Linked DNA regions of Struthio camelus. The protein of the gene in region 1 interacts with the protein of each later gene in a biochemical or structural test. Links are inferred from orthologs where the notes say so. Each region holds a gene or a part of one and is shown on either strand. Other genes may lie near its edges.

Region 1 (10,950 bases):
TCAAAACCAAAAGGAACAGAGTCGGGAAAACGAGCATTGAAATGAGCCTCTCATCCAGCAACGCACACGGAAGAGACAGTGAGTTTAGTAGATAAAGCATCCTAAAGCAAAATTTAGGAAATATACTTTTCAAATTAAAGGTAAGTGGCCCAAGGAAGCCATCATGAAATTTATCAAGAATAAGAAAACACTGATGGACTAAAACCAGAACTGAACCAGTTACGGATGCCCACAGAGAGAGGGGTGCAATAGGAGAACAAACAATACCAAGGACAAAATTATGAATGCTCTGCACACTGGGTGAGGTGCACACAGAGATGGTCCAAGTAACAGTGAAGAACTTGAATGGCTGAGTGGAAGCTTCTACAAAGCTGACAAAAACTGCTCCAGAAAGTAAGGAATAAAACACACATAATCAAAGGATGATGAAAGAAGAAACACAGAGCTTTCAGAAGAGAAAATCCTCGAGCCTTTGACAAGTCAGTGAAACAGGACTGGAACACAAGTGGAAAATTTCTGGCATAACTGCACAGATCTAGAGGGAAGGCAGGACACTCGGAACATACCAGCTTCCTGTGCTGCTCTGGGGAGGGAGCAGGGAAAGAGAAAGTACTTGTAGCAGAACAATAGATGTTAGCCATTCTGAGGACAGCTGTTTTAAAAAAAAATTTAAAAAGGAGACTCGGCTCAACATGCACAAGGGCACCAAGAGGAAGAGGTATTAAAATAACCAGAGAAAAGGGGACACATGCTAATTGTGACTGACAAACCCAGAGGTTAGGAGGGAAGAAGGAAGAGAACTGTAAAGCTTTGGGGCATTCCTGGGAACCATTTTCAGGAATACAGTGGTTGACATATTAAGGGCAACACAGAACGACAGACAGTCCTTTGCAAATTCTTTTGCTCTACTCTCCTCTTTTTCCCAATTCAGGCCTTATCCTTGAGGGTCTATAACTTACCATCTGTATCCAATGGGCAATTAGAAAAACGCAGTGGAGGCTGAAGTTGTACCAAGGTTTCGCCAATCATGAAAGTACATCTGCTAAGGATGCTCAAAAAGAGGTAGGCTAGGTCTACAAATGCTATCTGAGGTCTGTCAGCTCAGGTCCTCTCAGCCCCAGGGCTCCTCAACAGCATAACAGTGAATTAAAGTCCAAATCCTCAGGTGATCCTCACTTAAGCTGGTCACCCTGATGAACTAATCCCAGTCCCGACAGAACAAGGAAGATCTCTGCCAAGCAGCAGACATCAACGTTTGCCAACTAAGAGGAAGTTAAACAGAAGCTGGTGTGTGATGTTACAGTACACACAAAAGCGCACTCTGAGCAGGACAACTAACACCCTCCTCCTGGTTAACAATTACAAAGAGCTAGAAAAAACAGGTTATTTTGTAGTTTCTGTAAGTTAATATCAGCACCATAAGCAAGAACTTCATTCCACAGCACAGGTGAATAATACAAAACAAATATTCATGCATTTTAATATACAAGCATGCTCTTTCTGACTGTAGTCACACAGTCTCTCTCAGGAGACTAGTAAAAAATGGACTCCTTAACCTGGACCGTATTTGAAGATACTTTATCAGCAGCTCTGAAGACAGAAAGTTTCAGTCCACAGTGCACAAAACACATGGGCATTCAAAACAAAAGGGTAGTCTTGATTGCCTGCTCCAGGTCATGCTTAATTCACCCACTACAACTCCTCCTCCCTCACTGCCAACAAAGCTGACAACTTCAGAAAGAGGATTTTGGAACACGGCCTTTTAACTCATTTAACTGAGGGCATCAAAGAACCAGTGCTCATAATCCTCAAACTTGCTGAAAACACAACTTGCAGCTTCTGTTGACATCAATGGGAAGTTATCAGCAGCACTCAGAACTGGAGTTAAAGCTCAGTATCAAATGATGCTGTCTATGTTTAGGATTATGCACACATGAGAGACATCAGACAACATGGGGAAATACCCATTCCCAGTAGACTGTTAGAACCAAATCAGAAGTCATTTGGGGGAAAAACTTGTGGGGTGACAGCGCAGGGGAAATCCTAATTTTTGTATCCATTTTTCAGTAAGAGAGAGTCTGTGGGAGAATGCAGCAGCAAAGCTTACTGGCAGAAGAGCTGTTAGACTCCCCATGCTGGCAGTACAGAGAGGGGGACAGGTTTTAAATAACCAGGAGATCCCGTCCCCAGCCCCTACTGCTGACCCAGCTGGCCATGTCTGAGTGTGTACCACAAACAATGCAGCATGCCCAACCAAAACTGCAACGTTGAGAGAGGGAGGTGGGATAAAGGACCACAATCTATCTCTAGGGATAGACAACATTGTAACACCATCAGTTCTGTCCCACCTGCCTGCCTTCAAGCAGTCCCTCATCTCCATCTAATACTTCCTCTCTTTTACTTTTTTATTTAGGGATCCTATTTCAATCATTAAGTCACCTCGTGGCCTAGCTGTAACCTACGAAACAACTAACAATAACCTACTAGCAAAATACTTTGGAATTCTGATTTGCATTTCCTTGCTCTGGTCTTTAGAATACGCTTCGTTTTATGAAACGGACAAGCAAATTGTATGCTGAAGAAATTTCTAATATTGCCTTCCTTTTCCCATCCATAACTAGGTTACCCAAAAGGAAAAAGAGAAAAGCCCTTTTTATCTTTATCTCTGAATGAATGACTTATTGCTGCCTCCAGGAGTTTTTCAAGGGGATAAAGATGAACCACAAATCTCAAGAATTCCCCCTACAAAGTCTGGCACATCAGCAAAGCTGATCCAGTGACAGTACTATGTGCCTTCTGACTGCAATACTCATCACCCACCAAAAAAAAAAAAAAACCCACAAAGAGCACACATACACACTGGGATATTAGGTTGTGGAATCTCCATCTTCAGAGGTTTTCATCACTGCACAAAGCTATAGCTGGCCTGATCTATCACTGGAGAATTCTTGCTTCAAGCAGAAGACTGGACTAGATGACACCCAGAGGTCCCTACCAACAAACATCCTACACTTCATGGAAACTGAGGGCAATGGGTCGCCGTCAATAGAGAATTCTGTACTTTGCTGCCTGAGGCTCCTGCAGTCAACAAGCTACTTTTTCTGCTCTCAGATACAAACCGACTAGTTCCTGCCTCACTTGGCTTTCAGCAATTGCAGTTTTGAAGTGGGCTGTGCCACTGGATACCCCCTCAACCTGGGCAGCTCACCAGAAATATCCCAAACGCGCACAGTCTGATCCAAGCTGGCTGACACTACCAGGTCCTCAGAGGGATGAAACTGGGCACACATCACATAGTGGTTGTGTCCTGTCAGCACACTACAACAAAAAGGACAGAAAATACCACTTAAACATAGCAGATACTAACATACATTTGTAGCCACAGGAATAAGCTCAGTCTGAGGAAGAAGGTTGATAAGGGATATATAATAACGTGATACTCAGGAAAAAAAAAAAAAATGCAACTCTTCAAGAGTTAGTGTGACTGAACACTGGATGCATGTTCTTGCGGAGAGCGTTCAAGGGCTTACTTACTGATGACAATAACCTCATAGGTGAATACCAACATATTACTTCAACCGGGGAAATTTTTTTTACCCAAACAACATGTCAATTCACAAATAAGAGATGGTTTAGTAGCATCAGAATAAACGAGCAAAAGAAAGGACCGACAGATATATTCAAAACTGATCAATTTTCTTTGTCAGTTCTTTTCCTTCAACTATGCAGTTTTGAAACATCAATAATATCTCCCATTTGAAAAAAACAAATTAAGATAGCTTGCACCCCAGCCCTGCAGTTACTCATAAAGCACCCATTGATTTTACCAAACACAAGTCCTGGACTGCCAATTCCAAACACGAATTGTCTGATCATCAGAAGCACTCAATATCCAGGGATATTCCTAAAAGGTAAAGTATTTTGCAAATGAAATAATAATCTCCACATCAGACATTTCCCCCCTCCCAATGTTTTCCAATGGTCCCCACGAATGACCAGGGGTTTTTGGGTTTTTTTTTTTTTTTTTGGGGGGGGGGGGGGGGGGAGGAGGGGGAGCCAGGGCAGCCAAAAAAAGGATACCATTTTATATGAAAAGAGAGCAGACATACATCACTGGGTTAAGTAACAAAGAGACTTACATGGTGGAAGAAGGTAGTGCGAATGTAATCCAAGTGCCCAAGCAGAGTGAAAAGACAACGGCGCAATTTATAGTTCCAGACCTGCACGACACAGAAACAGAACAAAAAGCCCGTGCCACAGCCTGCCAAGACTTCTTGTGCTCTCTCACAACACATTAAAGATGTTAACTCACATACAAACCTCATTCTTCTATTTTACGATATGGCTCTAATGCAAGCTGCGAAGACACTTCAGTTCATTACAATTATCTCTAATGCCTCTGGAACAGCAGAATCCTTAAGCGCCTAACGCTATTTTTTCCCTCTCACTCTCTCACCTTGTCAGCATTTCCCCAACACATTCCCTTGCCTAGGCAACGTCCTTTACAGAACAAGAGATATCGGGGTAAAGTTTTACCTTTATTTTGTAATCATCACCTCCAGAAACAAAGAGAGGTTGCTGTTTGTGGAAGTCAATACCTCGAACGGGACCTACAAACAGGAGAAGCAGGTTGACAGAGACAGATGCCTGATAGCTGGAACAGTCCCTTATATCACGTAGGTTATGATTTTTATCCCTCCCTGATTCTTTTGGATATCGATAAAATAAAAAACTTTAACGCAACAATGAAAAGCCAGGCAAAACTCTGAGATCATATTCCTTTCTATCAGGGCACTCACAGGAATCACAGAATATCCAAGCCCTTCACACACAATTACAAGTTTATTTTTATACTGACAATGAAGCTAATACACTCACTATTCTGTAGGCCCGAACACAATGTTCAGAAACTAATAAATTGGCCAGGAAGAAAGACAGGGTAAAACAAATGGGGACTGAAGTCAAACCAGCAGAGGCCTGAGCAATGCCTTCAGCAAAATGACACACTTTCTTCTCTCTCACCCCAATCTTCTCCCACAAGCAAGTTTCAGCCTTTACTCTCATTGCAAAACCGAGCCTTCCCAATCTCGACCCCCCCGCCCCGAACACGCTCACCGTCATGCTCGTCAAATTTGTCGATCAGGGTGCACATCCGATAATCCCACAGCTGGATCACGCCATTGTGCAAACTCGTGAGGATCCACGGCCGCTTGGGGTGGAAGCTGAGCCCTGCCGAGGCCCGCAGTGGCGTGAGAGCGGAGCCGCCGCGCCGACGGAGCCTCGGGGCTGTTAGAGCCGCCCCCCCCCGCCCCGGCCGGGGCCGCTGGGCCTCGCAGGCTCCAGAGCGGGGGGGGGGGGCCCGGCCCCCTGAGCCCGGGGACACCCGGCGCCCGTGTCCCGTGCCCGTGCCCCCAGCCTCAGGACTCCCGGCGCAGCCGCTACCTTTCACCCGAGCCGACTTCGTCTCGAACTTGGTCAGCATCATCCACCGCCACCGACCCTCCACCCTGACGGTCCACGTCGGCGCCCCGGAAGTGCCCCCTAGAGACTTCCGCTTCCGTCCCGTGTAGTCCTCCTGGACCATAGAGTTGTAATCCTCCTGGCTGGTGCAGAGAGACTTCCGGCATTGCCTCCTTGTGGCCGCGGTGGAGGAAGCGGAAGGGCTGAGAAGATGGCGGCGGTGGGCAGCGCTGGGGGCGGCTGGGGGATGGAGGCCACTGCGAGGAGCCGCTGGATCCCGCTCCCGGCCTGGCGGGGGCTGCTCCGGGCGCTGCTGTTTGCCGCGCTGGCGGCGGGTGAGGATGACTGGGCGAGGGCCCGGGCGGGACAGGGCAGGGCGCCCCCGAACTGCGGCTACTCGGCCTCTGCTGGGGCGGGGGGGAGGAAGGCCCCTCTCTGAGGTGTCGGTGGAGGGAGGCGGAGAGGGCCTCAACTGTCTTTCTCTGAGCTGGGGGGCTCCCATTTTCCTCCCTGAGCTTTGAGACCCCCTTGTCTGCCTCTCTCTTGGGGGGGGGGGAGGTGGCCTCAAATGTCTCTCTCTGAAATGGGGGGGGGACTCCTGTTTTTCTCTCTGAGCTGGGGGGCTCCCTTCGAGACCCCACATCGTCTGCCCCTTTCTGAGCTGGGGGGAAGGGTAGTCTCTCTTCTTCTGAAATGGGGGAGGGCCTTGTATTTTTCCTTCTGAGTTGGGGGGGTTCCCTTCAGGACCCCTCATCTGGCCCTCTCTGAGGTGGGCCTATCTCTTGTCCTCAGGCTCCTGCCAGGGGAACTCTATTGAGAGGAAGATCTACATCCCCCTGAACAAAACGGCGCCGTGCGTTCGCCTCCTGAATGCCACCCACCAGATCGGCTGCCAGTGTGAGTACTGCTGTGGGGCCCCAGAGCTGCCCTTTGGGATGGCCAGGCCCTGAGCGATGTGGCATAAGAGTGTTGTTCTGTTTGCCTTGCCTTGACAACATTGCTTGTGTTCTCAGTGCTGTTTGCCCTCTCTTCCAGTCCCGCTTCAGTAAGGCTGTACTTGCTGACCAGTTTCTGCTAAATTGAAGGGTAGAGGCCTTAGGCTGTGCTCCTGTAGTCTCTGACAGACGATCAGTGCCTGGCAGAGAGCAGCACTCTGAACTCAGCAATCTACTGCTTGTATGTAGCAGTCAGTTAGCGCACGCATAGGATAAAACCAGGCCTCAGCGTAGGCCATCTCTTGCCCAGCCAGTATTTAGGGGTACAAGGTAAAGGTGTGCGTGCTGCAGAGTGAGTTAGGGGTAACAAGGGACTGGACAAAGGGAGCAGGGGGTGAAGAAGTGGGAAGTTGAGATCTGTAGGGAACAGATGGCTTGGTTGTGCTGCTTGTGCAGCGCTTGTTAACTTGGTAAGTTTTTTGTTGAATTAGGATTGGGGAAGCGAGGACTGCTTGGCTGGTAAGAACGGAGAGAGAAATAAGGACACCCAATTCAATCAACATTCCTTGCTGAAGGCAGTAATATATAGAAAGGGCTTTCTCTGAGTTGGTGTTTTGCTAGTTTGTGACTGAATTTTGCGGTTCCTGAGTGAGCCACTTCCTGCAGTGGGATTGTCAGCTGGTACTGCAGGGCAGCGCAGCTGCACTTGGTTTGATAGATGACCTGGGGTACAAGGTTCTCTGACTTCCATCATTGGGTGTGAGCCTAGTGTTAATGCAGACAGCTGCCTGCAATCCCGCCTTCCTAGTCACTAGCAGTTCTTGACAATGATAACAGTTACTAACTGCGGGCATTGACAAAGTACCTGTTTTAACAGTTGCTTCTTGGGCAGTGGACAAAGCACGTGCATGTTTTCTTTGGGATGGAGTGAAATGACAAGTAGTCAGACCTGCTTCTTCCTCCACCTGCTTTGTTGTTAGTCCTCTTTGCCACCGTGATCTTTTGCCATCTTTATCTCTCTGTGCTCCAGGCCTCGTGCTGAGCTGTGCTTGAACACTCAGTTTCTGAATTTGCAATCTTTACTCTTTGATAATGGGCAGCTCTAAACTGCTTCTGTGATTGTGGTCCTTGAGGCAGTTCCTGTCTCCTCTTTGCACCTTTCTGTTTCTGGGCCTCAATTTCCTATTATATCCTTTCTTATTTTCTTTGGTCACAGAAAACTAGTAGTGCTTAGGTAGCTGAAATTCCTTAAGCACTTTGAGCTTAGACAAAAGATGCTTTCAACACGTGGGTGCTTATTGCTATTACTTCTTAAATTATAATGTTTGGCTTTTTTCACTTTAAAAAAAAAAAAAGCCTATTTACTTTTCTGGCATGTTTTAGCTGAAAGTGCTACTTCACCAAATTCCTTCCTTCAGCTCTCTAATCCTGTGAGCTGTTCTTCCTTAAACCTCTCTGCGACATACTGTCCTTCTTTTCTGAGGTTTGAAAGAAACAGGCTCCAGTGAAACATGAAGGGCCTGCTCTCTTTCCGCAGCTTCCATCAGCGGAGACACAGGGGTGATCCATGTGGTTGAGAAGGAAGAAGACCTGAACTGGGTGCTTGCAGATGGCCCACACCCACCATATATGATACTGCTAGATGGGAACCTTTTCAACAGGTAATGAGTCATCATCAGTTTTAATCTTCCCAAGGTGACAAGAGCCCAGAGGACCAACAAGGGTCCCTAATCTGGTGATGAAAAATGTCATTTTTCAAATGACGCATGGTAAATCAGCCCTGAATGCCTGATTGTACCAATGTACAGTAAGGTTGGAGCATTTGTATTTTTACTGTCTTAGTGCCTGTGTTTGTTCATTTCTTCTTAAATGAATGGTTTGGTTGTTCAAGAGTTCTGCTCTATGTAAATTCTAAAGTCATGTTCATTGCTGTAGCACTTCCTATATTTAATTAAATTACATGATTAACATCTGTCTCATTTCTCTCTGGGCAGAGGAGAAAAGTGGGTGAAGTGATTGTTTTCTGTTTGTTGACATGTGCATAATCTCATGTATTTCTGAGAAGATAAGGAGAAAGGGGCATGTTTTGATCAAAAGCATCAAGCAGTGCTTGATTGTAGTACATCAGCAATAGCATGTATTGGATTGTAACTTTTGGTTAGTGAATTCAAATTTTCACTCCTCTGTTCTCTATTCTAGGAGGGTAATGCTGCAACTGAAGGGAACCTCACGAGTTTCAGGCCTTGCTGTGGCCATTGCCAAACCTAGCCCTCCCCAAGGATTCTCTCCTGGTTTGAAGTGCCCCAACGACGGGTTTGGTAAGGAACTGTAAAGTCTTTATTGTTGTTGGGTGGAGGAGAAACAGCAGTTTTACGTTGTATGGTCAAAGCAAGAAGTGCAAAGGCCAGCCAAAATTGCAGCTGCAGTTTAATGTCAAAATGATGTTTAAGGTCCAGGCTCAGTAAATCCTTTAGAAGTAGTTGGTCTGAGCTGGAATCTCATCCATTCTCAACAAGGGCTGGAACTGATGTTTGAAGAAAGACTGTTAGATGAGCTTTTGAATCTGCCCTGGATAAAATGGCATTATGTCATTAAAATGTTAAACCTGACCCAGATTTGCTCTAGCTTCTTTTTCTTTAACATATGAAACTTGTATTTTTTCCAAACATGATCATTAAGCCTCTTGTGTTTGTGCAGGTTGGGTGGAGTAGGCGTTAACAACTCTGGGCTACTAGTTACTTTTTTAAATTCTGTTCTGCTTCCCTGTGTTCCTCTTGCAGTTTCAGTCGGGTTTTCATTTCACTGTTTTTCATGCTCCCCTAAACTTTAGAAATGTTTCATGCAGCAAAACTACTGTGTTTTACTTCGAGGGGAGAGATTACTATACCTTGTGTAGTTTGCACAAAGGTTTCTGCTGCTCTGCTGTGAAGGATGCTATATAAACTCCTGAGATGAGTTTGGTGTGCTGGCATTTGTTGTCTCACTGCCTTCCTGCTGTTTGCACGCAGTATCTAGGTATTAAAATGATTGGCACATTATGGATGCCTTAGAGGTACTTCCAGCACATGATGAGCTCAGAAAATGCTGGTGTGTATGTTCCTCCTTTTGAAGTATGATGTTTCTCTGTATGCCTCCTCTGCTCTCTCAGCATGTGATAAATGCTTGTTGAGTTCTCATGCCAGCCTCCTGGCATGTGATGGCTTTGAGCATGCATGTTTCTTACTCTGTCCACATGGCACAGTGCTCTGTCTCTGCCACTTTGCTGCATGCAGTGACCAGCTCCATCTCTCTAAGCTTTTGTCAGCTCGTTCTTTAGCCCATAACGGTGCTAAATGTATGCTTGCTGCTGCTTTCTCAGCAGCCCTTACCTTTCCTGCGGTGATTTGCCCATTTCTTCCTGTTTCCAGGTGTCTATTCCAAAGATTATGGCCCTCAGTTTGCACACTGCAACAGTACTGTGTGGAATCCCGTGGGGAGCGGGCTTTCTTATGAGGATTTTGACTTCCCTATTTTTCTACTTGAAGATGCCAATGAGACTCAAGTTATTAAGCAGGTACTGCACTTTGCCAAAAGGCGGGCGAGGGGATTTGCAACATGGCTCAAGAAAGAGGGCTGTATTGCAGTGTGCAATACTATTACAGAAATACTAAGTCTTATACTAATTTTTATTTCTCTCTAGTGCTATCAAGATCATAATGTCCCTCATGATGGATCTGGCCCTGAGTACCCTCTGTGTGCTATGCAGCTTTTTTCCCACATGCATGCTGTCACTAGCACTGTTACCTGCATGAGACGCAGCTCCATCCAAAGCACCTTCAGCCTTAATCCAGGTAAGCAGATTCCTCTTACCCTGTCATGATGTGGGACAAGACTGATAATAAAAATCCCAGTGGAATACAATGGCTCAAAAGAAAGAAAGAAAGAAAGAAAATTTCTAAAATGTCCCCGAAGATTTGCTTGCTGACCAAGCCTTTTCAAAATAAACTATTTAAGCGATGAAGAATTTAGGGGTACATTTGTCATTGGTTTGGAAAATTAGTATGCAGAGGGGATTCTGGCTGAGGAAGAGACTTAATATCTGCTAAACAGATCATAAAGAATGGCTCTGATATCAGTACTTCACTAGCAGTGCGTGTACATAGATTGAAATCCTGGTCCTGGTGCATGTTTTATCAGTGACTTTTCCTGGGGCCAGGACTTACACCCATGCTGAGCAGAAGCTTGCTGCTGTGATAGAACCGCTGATGAGCTATAGCTGACCAGAAAGATTGTTTCTCACTTGTTGTCACTGCTGTAGTCTCAGCTCTTGAGTTGTGTTGTTTCTGCTTCGTAGAGGTTGTATGTGATCCTCTTCTTGATTACAATGTGTGGAGCACCTTGCAACCTATCAATTCTTCTGGAAAAGTCGACCCTGAGAAAGAAGTCATTATTGTTGCCACTCGAGTAGGTACCTCTTAATCTTGCTGTGAAGAGAGCAGGCTGAAAGGATTCTGGGAAGATGTGGGCTTAGGGCCTTGCTGGAATATACCCCTCCTAAATATTTTAATTTCTTCCC
Region 2 (11,453 bases), on another chromosome or scaffold:
TGCAGCAGCTGCCACCAGTGACAGTGGGCTGTACTACAAGGCAGGCTATTGAGTGCTTTTTCCTTCCCAGGCGGCACCCAAGGGGACAAAGTGAGAAACATGGTTCAGGCATCTCCCAAACCCCAAACTGTATCACACCCATCTCATCCCACACCTGCCACCAGGTAGCCATAAAGATAGACACTGGCCAAGCCCATGTGAGTGCTGAGCTCCTGCAAGGCCTGAATGCACTGTGAGGCCTGCTGTTCATGGCTGCAGGATCTTTTCTGAGGGAAACAATGGCTTTCCTTTGCAAGACCTCCCTGTGCACACGCCATGCTGAGTCAGGCAAAGGCACTGCAGGGACCACCTGCTCCTAGGAAAGGAGCTGGGCTCAGGTTGGATGAAAGGACAACAGAAGCTTTCCATGGCAGATAGACAGCATCAGGATATCCAACACCCACAAGCCAACTCCTTGTCCAACTGATTTCCTGAAACAAAACTGAAGGTTTCCCATTTTATCTCCAGCTGTTTCCCCACACAAGGTACTCTTCCACTCCCCTGAGAGCCCATGACAATTCCTCCATGCGAGTAGGTGTTAGAGAAGGTCAAACATCCTGTCACCTGTTGCCAATAAGTATTTATTTGGGGCCTGACCACAGAAACTATTCTTGCAAACCAGAGAACAGAAATAACAGTTCCTCAAACATTAAAGAAGGCACTGACAATCAAACTTGACATTAGAAACAGAGCTGGCCAAACCCTATGACCTGAGCCTGCTCTGGGATTTGAGGCTCTGTGGGGAAGCACTTTTATGCCAAATGATTTTCAGAAGATCTCAGCACCCCTTGGCCAACCTCCTGTTCCAAATATACATGATGCAAATCTATGCTGGGAGGCCCAGAAACCTTTCTGGTTACTCTTAGATGGTACAAGAAATATGGGAGCCCCACCTCATTGGCTTTTCACCTTCTGCACCAGAAAAGGTCTTTGAACTGACTATCACCTGGGAAAGCAAGATCAGATCAAGAGTCCCCAGAAGCCCAAGTCACTGAGGGAACCAGGACTCTACTACCCACACCAATCAGCAGTGCTGGAGTCCAAACTGAGGCAGATGATCACAGGCAAGGGTGCCACATAAATGCATAAAGCAGCATTATCAGAAGGATAGGCCTCAAGACCAGCTGCACAACACAACCTCCCTATGTGTTCCAGGAAATTTTCCTCTCAGAAAACCATGGGCTATGCCAGGTCGAGGGGCTGAGATCATCCTGTCGCAGTATTTTTAGACTCTGGCTCAGGGGAGAATCTGTTGATATAAACAAGAGTGGAAAGCACCAGCCCTTGAAAGGGAAAGAGCAATGACTGAATGGAGAGAGAGAGAATCCTTATTTCCCTTCATGTCACCAACAATTCAGGTCTGGCTGTCCTTTGCTCGGGAAAGGGATGCGCTTTTGAAGGACATTCTTCCAGGAGATGGATCCAGCCTTTCAGGAGGGGCTCAAGCCAGCAGCATTACGCAGGAATGAAAAGTAACGGAGATGGTTTTTGAGAGGATCCCATCCTCCCTCACCTGCTTCCCCCAAACTCTCCAACACCAATTTCAAGTCAGAATTGTCCACATTAAAACCCATTAGGGCTCAGTATCCCCAAAGCAGGAGCAACATCAGGGTGGTAACAGCCAACCAGCAGGGCTCCCAAGCTCCCTATGAGTAGAAATAAGTCAGGCCAAAGGATGTTATTTCTCTTCCTCAGCACGCAGTCTGTTCTGCCGCTCTATCCTCTTCTGCAGTTTCCTCTTCAGCTGCAGTTGCTTTTTCTCCTCCAGTGTTTGCCGGATCTTCTCACGGAATTGCTTGTTTTTCTTCTTGATCTTGGCCAGTTCTGCCTTCCTTTTTGCCTCCAGATCCGGATCCTGCAATGACAAATGCCAGGATACTAGTCACATGCATAGGGATAGTGCCAGCCCCTTGCCTTTGCCAGATGCCCACTCTGCTCCCTAGCCCATGACTGAGTAAGCTGCAGAAGTCAGACACTAATCCAATCACTTTTTCCGTACCAGTCACCCTTTAAGATAAGTTTCACCACCCCAAAAGGGAGGTGGACAAACCACAGCAGTGAAGAAGAAACCGTCATTCCTCTTCCTTGTCAATGGTGTTATACCAGCTACCGATCAAAGTAGTTTATATAGCAGCAACTCTCACCTTCCCTTCAAGGATCATTTGTTTCCGCTTATTTATTTCTTTCTTTTCATCAAAATCCATCCCCTCCAGTTTCTGTCAAAGCAAAGATAGAGGAGGGCAATCAGCAACCAATCACTGAGCCTGACACAGAAAAGCAGTCAGCAGAGCCTCCTTGGTTCTCACACGCACCTTTGGTAACCTCCAGCCCCAACACTCAGCAGCACAGAAATGCTGCAGAAATGTTCAATAATAGATCAAACCATCAAACCCTATGCTAAGGAAGATATTTAAAAAAAAAAAAAAAAAAAAGCCCACATACATCCAAATGTTTCCACTAGAAAAACTCTTATCTATGTGCTCAAGAAAAAAAGCTTCATATCCAGAGCTGAACACTAGACTGTGACAAATCTCCTTGTTACACCCAGCTGCCCAACGTTTCCAGTCCTCTGAGCAAAGGGGCTTATGCTTGCACACTTACTATTTCACACTCCCTCCTGGTGATGTACACCTGGGTGAGGATGTCAAGCACAAAGCGCTCCTCCACAGAAAACTCCTGCAGCTTCAGTTCTAAATCAGAACAAGACATTTACAGAGCACGGGTCATTACAAAATACAGAGGCAGATTCGCAACTAGTGAAATCAGTATAGTTTCACTGATTGTCAGTGGAACTGTTGTCACTTGCTTTGATCATTATGACTTCTGCAGTCCTACAACACAGGATTAAATCCTCCCCTCTGCCCATAAGTCCCTGTAGCACAAGATGTTGCCTTTATTAGGTCTGTTTTCAAAACAGATGAAACCTGAATCTGTGCAAAGCGTCCCACTCTTTCTGTACACCTCTGCATACACAGCACTGAGTCAGGAAGGAAGGAAAGAAGGAGCTGACTGCTGTAAGAAAAAGGTTACAGAGCAAGCTCTACAGCCCGTTTCCCCTGCACTAGAAATAGCAGGAAGACAAACATGCTCATGCCTGGCACACACAACAGCAAACCCAAAGCTGATAGATTTAAGTGCTCCCACTCTTTCCCAAGCCTTGGCCACACAATCAGGGAAGAGAGACCATTTTGTTGCCAGTGTTCTGGATCATACATCCTACCCTGTGAAATTAGGACTGCAAGAATCACAAGCACAGAGGAGCATGTATCATCCCATTTTAGCACCGTTAACGCTCTCCACTTACTGATTTCATCCTCGATAGCATGTACCAGATGGATGTCGTACTGTGTCACCATTGTAATAGCTATTCCGTGCCGACCTGGAGGATAAGAACACAGTAATATATGAATCTTGACGAGCAGAGGGAGATGAAGCCTAATCCATGCCAGAGGCCATCCATCCCTGTGAGTCAGCTTGGCAGATTATGGTCACAGGGCACTCTGAAGAAGGACCTTTATTTGCTCTGCAAAATCAATTAACTATTGGTGCAGATCAGACACAGCTCAAGGTGAACCATCAACGCAATCTTAGGGCAGGATGCTGAGCCCGTGATCCGAGTAGATCTGACACTGACTGAAAACACCGCACTGCAGCTGCTGCAAAGCCTCCTTACACCCATTCAGGGCACAGCCTTAGCACTGGGATCCCAGTTCTAGCCAGCTGCAGCACTATCTTGCAGCAAATGGCACAGGGTTTTCCTTGCTCACCAGCACGGGCTGTCCGGCCAACCCGGTGAATGTAGATTTTTGGCAAGCCTGGAGTATTGTGGTTGATGACAACTTGTACTGCAGGAATGTCCAAACCTCTGGAATGCAGTAAAAGAGAACAGAAGTTAAGAAACACCATTTTAGTACTCTGCTCTCCCCAAGAGCCCAATATTCTCATGAATACTGCCTTTATTAGCTCAGACTGAATCTAGGACAAACCCTCTCCTCACACTGCTCTCCAACAGCTGCAAAATGGGATGGCCTGCATAAACATCACCCTGTAGCCTGACCAGCCTGCTGTTCCCTCCCTAGACCCAGGAGACAAGCTAAGCCTCACAGAAATCTTTCTCCTACTACAACACATGCACACACTCCTGCTGCAGCAAAACAAAGCAGAATCAGAGCTACTTCATGTACAAATGAGCTCCAAAGTACGTCTTAAATATTCCCTAATCAAAGGGAACAACCCTATCCTACCCAAGTGGGGATTAGAGGGAATTTAAAACTCCTCTCTTGCTAAAGCTACCCTAACCTCCACAGTGACTGTGGTGCTTTAAAAGCACGCCTAAGACCTTTGGCAACAGACACACTAGTTTTTCGTTACCTGGCAGCAACATCCGTGGCAATAAGAATCCTAAAGATGCTGGACTTGAACTTTGCTAAAGCCGCAAATCGCTGCCGCTATAAAGGAAAAGTCTGGATAAGTGATACTGCGATCCTCAGGAGCTGCGTGCCCTGGACAGACCTCTGGCTCAGGGATGCAGCTATAAGCATCCATCTCCCAGACCTGGCCTGTCACTCACCTGTTTCATCATGGAATGCAGAGCTACAGAAGGAAAGTTGAACTTCCTAAGCATCATGTTCAAGACTTGGCAGTCCCTTAAGGCAAAAATACATTTCCTTGTTATATTCTGATCTTTCAAAAGCAGATGAATCAGAACAGAGGCTGGGGTTCCTCTAGAACCCCTCAGAGTACAATCACCACGATGAAGTTAGTTACCGAAGCGCTCTGACGGAGGTAGGGAACAGGACGCCCACTCCACACTTAGCACCCGCTCACCCCAAGAGAGTGACTGGATCCCTGCATGTACCCAGGGAAATGTCACAAGCACCACACTTAATCCCCAGGAACTAAAATCCTAAAGAAAGAGAACAGTACGAAAGAGCGGACAGTGCTATTTTCCCCATCCCTTTTCCGTTATCCATCAGCAGGAGCAAAGGAAGATCAAGGGAGGTAACATAGCTTGACCCTCTGGAGCGTTACATTTGTGGACAGTCCTTCACCCCCAGATTGCCCAAAGGAAAAGGAGTTCATCTGCCAAATTTCAGCACAGACTAAGGAAGTAAATACCATCCCAGTCTAACAAACCATAAACCTGAACTAGAAATGCAAAAACACGTTTACAGTAAGAGCAATCACAAGGAGCAACTTCACTCACTTGCAGGTTTTGGTAAAGACAATAATAGACCAGTCTTCATGCTCATCCTGAAAGGTCTGGATTAAATGGACCAGGTACGCATCCTTGACTGTCTCTGGCACAAGCAAGTAGCGCTGGTCCAATTCATCCACTGTCCGCACCCTGCAGGGAGGGAAAAACAAGGTACCAAAAAAGCACAGGTTTGACAAGCAAAGATGGAGCATGAGGGAGATAAAAGACCGTCAGGAGACAAGATAACGGAGAGGAAGCGTGATCCCACATGTAGTGGAGCAGGTGAAGACTTACTCTGACAAAGCCTCCCAGAAGAAAGGCCTGTTCATGGCAAGACTCTTCAGCTCATTCAGTGTATCGGTTAGCGTGGCACTGAAAAGCAACGTTTGTCTGCGTGCTGGAACAGCCTCTAGGATCACCTCCAGGTCCTCAGTGAAGTCAGTACATTCCTGCTCTAGCAGCCGGTCAGCCTCATCCAAAACCTAGACACAGCCAAAAAATAACCAACAGACTGTCTGCACTCATGCCTACGAAGCTAGGAATCTTAAAAGCAGAAACAAAACTAAATAAACTGCCCTACCAAGAACTTTAGCTTTTTAAGGCTGAAAGTGTTGGAGCTGCGGAGGTGATCTGCCAACCTGCCAGGTGTAGCAATGACAACATGGGGTTTGCGGGAGAGCTCTAGTGCCTGGGCCACCATGTCTGAAACAAAGAGCCATAGAACCAGGTTACAGGCAGCTGAACACAGACCCTAAATAACGTTTGGTCTGTGAAGTTGGGAAATACAACGCTCCCTATTTCTGCTACCCTCACACAGCCTTAGGCACAGAATAACAACTTCACAGCAAGAAGAAAACATAGCACGTAGAAAGAAAAGCGTCACCCACACACTGGATATCCAGTGACCCAGGAAAACAAAACTATTGTTCTGGGTTTAAAACGCTTACCATCCTTATGTCCTTTTATAACTCTTTGCTTCAAAAACAGCTGCCTACGTTTAAGGAAACACTCCCAGTTTAGAGATAAATCACACAGGCCTCTATCCACAGGGACAAAAGGACAGTAAGCCTCTCTAACAACGACTACCTATCTCCATCCAGCTGCTGCAGGGAACAGGCTGCCAAAAGAGAGGCGATTTCCGATGCATTTTGGAGAATTTGGCCCCCACTTGCTCACCCAGTGTTTTGTTCTTTACCAGCCCTGCCCGCACCGGAGGCGGAGAGGACCAGCAGAGGCCCCACGCGGCCCCAACCTCGGGGCAGCGCCACTCACCCAGGCCGCCCACCACGACGCAGTCCTTCAGGCCGAGGGGCTTCCCCAGGACGCGGAACTGCTCGGCGATCTGGTAGGCCAGCTCCCTGCCGAGGGAGAGAGAGCTCAGGCGGGGCCGGGCGCCGCGGCGGGGCCCTGCCCCAGGGGCCGGGGCTCCCCGGGACCCCTGCGCACCTCGTGGGCGTCAGCACCAGGCAGAAGATGCCGTAGGGGTCCTCGGAGAGCGCCTGCAGCACGGGCAGCACGAAGGCCGCCGTCTTCCCGCTGCCCGTCTTGGCGCAGCCCAGGCAGTCGCGACCTGCGCGGGAGGCAGAAGCAGGCGGGCCGTTAACGGCCGCCGGCAGCCCTTCAACGGCCGCCGGCAGCCGTTAACGGCCACCGGGGCGCCGCGAGCGGCGGCGGCCGCGCTCACCCTGAAGCACGGGCGGGATGCAGGCGGCCTGCACGGCCGTGGGCCGGCTCAGCCCCACCTGCCGCGCCTGCTCCACCAGCCAGGGCGCCAGCCCCAGCTCCCGGAAGGCCGCCATGATACCGCTGCCGCTGCCACTGCCGGCCAGGCCGCCGCCGCCGCCGCCACCCCCCCCACTTCCGGCCTACGCGCTGCGCGTCACCGCCCCGCCCGGCCTCCTCATTGGCTGCCTTCTCTCTGCACCCACTTCCGGCGCCCGCTCTGGCGTCATCGCCCCCGGCACGCCCATTGGTTGGGGGGAGAGGAGCGTCCTGTGACGCTAGCTCCCGGCAGCCCTCGCGGCCCAGCTGCTTCCGGAGACGTGTCTGAGGGGAGGGAAATGGCGGCCGGGGGGGGCGCGGGCCCTGCCGGCCAGGGCGGCGATGCGGACGAGCTCTTCGACGTAAAGAACAACTTCTACATCGGTGCCTACCAGGCCGCCATCAACGAGGCGCAGCGGGTCAAGGTAGGGGTGGCCTAGAGGGGGCCCTGGCGCCATGTGTCCCCCCGGCTCCTCTCCCCCGGGCCCGGCCTCCCCTCAGCCGCCCTCTCCCCGGAGCCCCTCGCCTCGCCTCGCCTCGCCGCAGGCTGTCTGCGCTGCCGCTAGCGTCTCTCCTCTCCTGCAGCGCCCCCCGCCCCCGGTGTGGGGGTCTCGTCCCACGGTGCAGCCTGGCGGGGCCGTCCGTGTGGGACTGCGCTGCTCAGGGCTCGGGTTATGGCTGCACGGGTTGCTGAGAAAGGTCTTTTTTGTCGTCCCGTCAGCCGTCTAATCCGGAGAAGGAGGTGGAGAGGGATGTTTTCTTATTCCGAGCCTACATTGCCCAGGTGAGGTTACAAATGCTGCATATGCAGTAGTCTAGCGTTACTGTGGGGCTGGAATCCAGAACTTGTGAATCTGAGTCCTGCAAATTCAGTGCCGTGCAATTTCTAGTAATTCCTCCTTCAGTGTTGGAACGTAACGTCCGCTGGAACAGACACGGAACATGCAGTAGTGCAGTTATGAACGCGATGTGTTGTGTCTAGGGTCAGTGCAACCTGATGAGACCTCTTTGAGAGGTACTTCTTTATTGTTAACACAGTGTAGAGGGGGGAATAATTCTTTATAGGGTTATGAAATCTGACTGTGTACAGTGCGATGGGAGATGTAAAATAGGAAGGGGAGGGGTGGTGTCTAAGGTTTACAGAACAAACTATTCCTGCTTGTGTTCTTAAAATGAATAAATTCTAGATTCTTTTTTGTCTTCAACAGAGAAAATATGGTGTTGTCCTGGATGAAATTAAAGCCAATGCTAGTCCTGAGCTCCAAGCAGTAAGGATGTTTGCTCAATATCTTTCAAATGAGGGTCAAAGGTAAGTCTGATAATAAGTTATAACACTCACGCACTGTCAGGGAATATATTTTCCTATGGAGAATTTCTAATAGAAGTGTAATCTTTATTATGGCTGTCTGTGGTTCTGCCACGAATCTCAAAAACGTAGAATTTTAGGGGGTAAAATCTTTTGGCGTTATTTAGTAATAAAACGCTCAAATTTTTACTACTGCTCTTCACAGAGATGCAATTGTTGCTGACTTGGACAAAAAAATGGCAAAAAGTGTTGATGTAGCTAACACTACTTTCTTGCTGATGGCTGCTTCCATCTATTTCCATGACAAAAATCCTGATGCCGCTTTGCGCACTCTACATCAAGGGGAAAGCTTGGAATGGTAAGTGTAATTCAATATGACATCATTGAGGTGTGTGTTAGCAAAGTCTCTGTTGTCTAGGGAGAGTTACCATAGAAATGGCAGAGATCTGGCTTGTCTCTAAAAAGCTTTGAAACCATTAAGAAACTGTTTTGAGGATTGTCTTCCAAGCAGTAAGTGACTTGGTGCCTGTCCTGCAATAGAAAGTATATTGTACCTTTGTGAAACTTTAGAATTTGATTTTTTTTTTTTTTTTGGAACAGTACTTGTTCGTGGTTGCTCAAATGAGCATTATGGTGTTACAGCAACAGAATATTTGGGAGCTAGAAGCAAGCTTCCCTGTTCTGTGTCCCAGTGATTGTTCTCCCTGCTTTATTGGTTTTCCGCTGCAGGGAGACTTGTCCCTAGTCTCCGGTAATACATCTGTCTCCTATGCAGTAGGTTCCCAAGCAAAGTGTAGGGAGCAGTAGAGCACGCAGCTGTGAAAATCACTTTCCCTTTGTTCCTTGCAGCATGGCAATGATGATACAGATTCTTCTGAAGCTCGACAGGCTTGATCTAGCCCGGTAAGTTTGCCTCTTGTATGCACCCCTTTGTTTCTGAACAATATTCTTGCAGTGGGCTTAAAAAAATTTGAAGTCCTTGATAAGAGAATTTGGATCACCTAGCAGCGCTTTAACACATGCAATGGGCAGAAGAAACTGTGTCTGGGTATGGGTGCACTGTGCAAAATTCCTGTTCGTCATGATGCAAGAACTTTGGAGATAATCTAGCTGGATACAGCTAAAGGAAGAAGCTGTCTCCTAGACTTAATTTCGCCTTTGCTAGAGGGTGATTTGAGTCTCTAGTCATGGGTTATTAGCTTCCCAAAAGGAAGTTAAACAGGGAGGGAACACTCTTCCACAGACTTGTTTCAGCAAAATATCGTAAAGGTTTTGTGCCACATTACCAGGTTGCTGTGGCTGTTTGCTAGAGGGAGAGAAGAGTTGACAGAGGGAACTGCAGCCTTTTGTTTGTATCTGAAAGAACTCCAGAGGATGCATTATCTTTCTGTTACATGGCTCCCACTTTTGCTTCTGCAGCAAGGAACTTAAGAAGATGCAGGAGCAGGACGAAGATGCAACTCTTACTCAGCTGGCTACTGCCTGGGTGAACCTAGCCATAGTGAGTAGCCTAGACAGGGGTCCCTAGTGTACAGCGTCTGAGGAAACGTTGTCCAGAAGCACAGCACTGGCACAAGACTCCATGTTGTATTCCTGATTGCTCTTGTCACGTTGTGCCTTCAGGGAAGCATGTCGTTTGGCAGAGGGGGAGGGAAAGGGGGGTTGTCTTGTTTTTGGAGGAGAGGGGTACTTTTTTCTTTTTTTTTTTCTCTCTCTCTCTTTGTTACCATGGAAATGTATTTTTTCCTTCAAGTACCCGGAGGATATTTGCAGCTGACTTTTCAGGCTGCCTGGCTGTTTTGACTGTTGGCCTTTTCATGTGTGCTATTTAGCCTTTAACTCGCATAGGGCAGAGCTAAACCACAGTTTAAATAATTCATGAAACATCATAATGTGAAATGGAAAGCTGCAGTGCGACTAGCATCCAGGCCTTGCAATTGAACTCCAGACAAAAATGTAATTCTCTGCTCACAGCAGATTGTCCTTAAGCACGTTTGTGATTCTAGGAATAGCAGGACAGTGCTCGCTAAACTCAATTTCAGTGATAAAACCAGCTGCCATAGCTCCTCGTTTGCCCTCAGCACTGGTTTCCTTTGCTCAGCAAGATGTTTGGCACTTTTGGTCTTTTATTCTTTAACTTCCCTCCCATCCAAGGAAACCTGTCTCTGCACAGCTAAAAACTTGCCTTTCACCTTGTTACTGCTCTCCATTGAGCCTTTTGATGCTCACCACTGGCTGGCAAGAATTTTATTTACAACTAAGCATTTGAAATGGGCAGCCAAAAACATATACTGTCTGGCAGTCCCGATATCAGGTATTTAGAAATAAGTAGTCTCCTAAAATTTGGTCAAGACCGAAGCATGCATGCAGTAACCTACTGTGAAGCTGCTAAGACTATTTTAGCACACGCTTGGCCTTGTTATGAAATCTTTCACAGATGGTCCTTGCCTTACAATAGCGTATGGCTATGTTTTCCTTAAGATCTTACTTTCCACTAGGGACCCCACCTTAGTTTTAGCCAGTGGAAGCTGCTGCATGTAGAACCTTTCTGAAGCTGGAACTTTTTGGAAAGCCAGATGTCTGTACCTTCATGTAGTTACAAGGTCTCATGTCATAATGCCTTAATACCTCAAGCATCTGAAGTGGTTCTTTTGAACTGTAGCTAATCTGTTTCCTCCCTTTGCAGGGTGGTGAGAAGTTGCAAGATGCCTATTACATCTTCCAAGAGATGGCAGACAAATGCTCCTCCACCCTCCTCCTACTTAATGGACAAGCAGCCTGCTATATGGCTCAGGGCAAGTGGGATGATGCAGAGGGGGTACTTCAGGAGGCACTGGACAAGGTATTTTCTGTTTTGCCAGGCAGATTAGCTAGAGTTCAAACGTCTTTCGTTAAGGACACGGAGCAAAAATAGCAAGGACTTTCACTGTTTTGTTTCATGAAAGCATTGCTAAGGGTTGTCAGTGTTAATACCTACCTTTTCTTCTGCTTTGCCTTCTCCAGTAAAGTGAGTTATGAATGTGACAGGTAAGATTGGCTTCCACTTGCAACACTGTGCAGGCTGTTACACCTAGTCACAGTAGAGATAAGTCAGGTGAATCAGATAATTGTCTTTGTTTTCAGGACAGTGGCCATCCTGAGACCCTGATT

Evidence for each region.
Region 2: the proteins of COPA (region 1) and COPE form a complex in vitro, tested with the Homo sapiens proteins (3 studies listed by BioGRID, with this or other methods). The link is inferred for Struthio camelus from reciprocal best matches to the Homo sapiens genes COPA and COPE.

What each region holds. Positions count from the first base shown.
Region 1 is NC_090971.1:5,142,951-5,153,900, forward strand, and holds the start of COPA (coatomer subunit alpha), read right to left. Parts: upstream 5,600-10,950; 5' UTR 5,585-5,599; coding exon 5,443-5,584; intron 5,230-5,442; coding exon 5,116-5,229; intron 4,611-5,115; coding exon 4,537-4,610; intron 4,221-4,536; coding exon 4,140-4,220; intron 3,905-4,139; coding exon 3,828-3,904; intron 3,319-3,827; coding exon 3,209-3,318; intron 1-3,208. Other genes in the region: NCSTN (nicastrin), read left to right, coding at 5,672-5,795, 6,253-6,357, 7,933-8,056, 8,595-8,713, 9,803-9,948, 10,075-10,225, 10,729-10,838. UniProt on the Homo sapiens protein: The coatomer is a cytosolic protein complex that binds to dilysine motifs and reversibly associates with Golgi non-clathrin-coated vesicles, which further mediate biosynthetic protein transport from the ER, via the Golgi up to the trans Golgi network.
Region 2 is NC_090967.1:6,124,561-6,136,013, reverse strand, and holds the start of COPE (coatomer subunit epsilon), read left to right. Parts: upstream 1-7,194; 5' UTR 7,195-7,296; coding exon 7,297-7,422; intron 7,423-7,718; coding exon 7,719-7,781; intron 7,782-8,205; coding exon 8,206-8,306; intron 8,307-8,508; coding exon 8,509-8,661; intron 8,662-9,152; coding exon 9,153-9,206; intron 9,207-9,722; coding exon 9,723-9,804; intron 9,805-10,989; coding exon 10,990-11,145; intron 11,146-11,426; coding exon 11,427-11,453. Other genes in the region: probable ATP-dependent RNA helicase DDX49, read right to left, coding at 1,718-1,894, 2,184-2,255, 2,641-2,729, 3,344-3,418, 3,807-3,904, 4,411-4,487, 4,610-4,685, 5,246-5,386 and 5 more. UniProt on the Homo sapiens protein: The coatomer is a cytosolic protein complex that binds to dilysine motifs and reversibly associates with Golgi non-clathrin-coated vesicles, which further mediate biosynthetic protein transport from the ER, via the Golgi up to the trans Golgi network.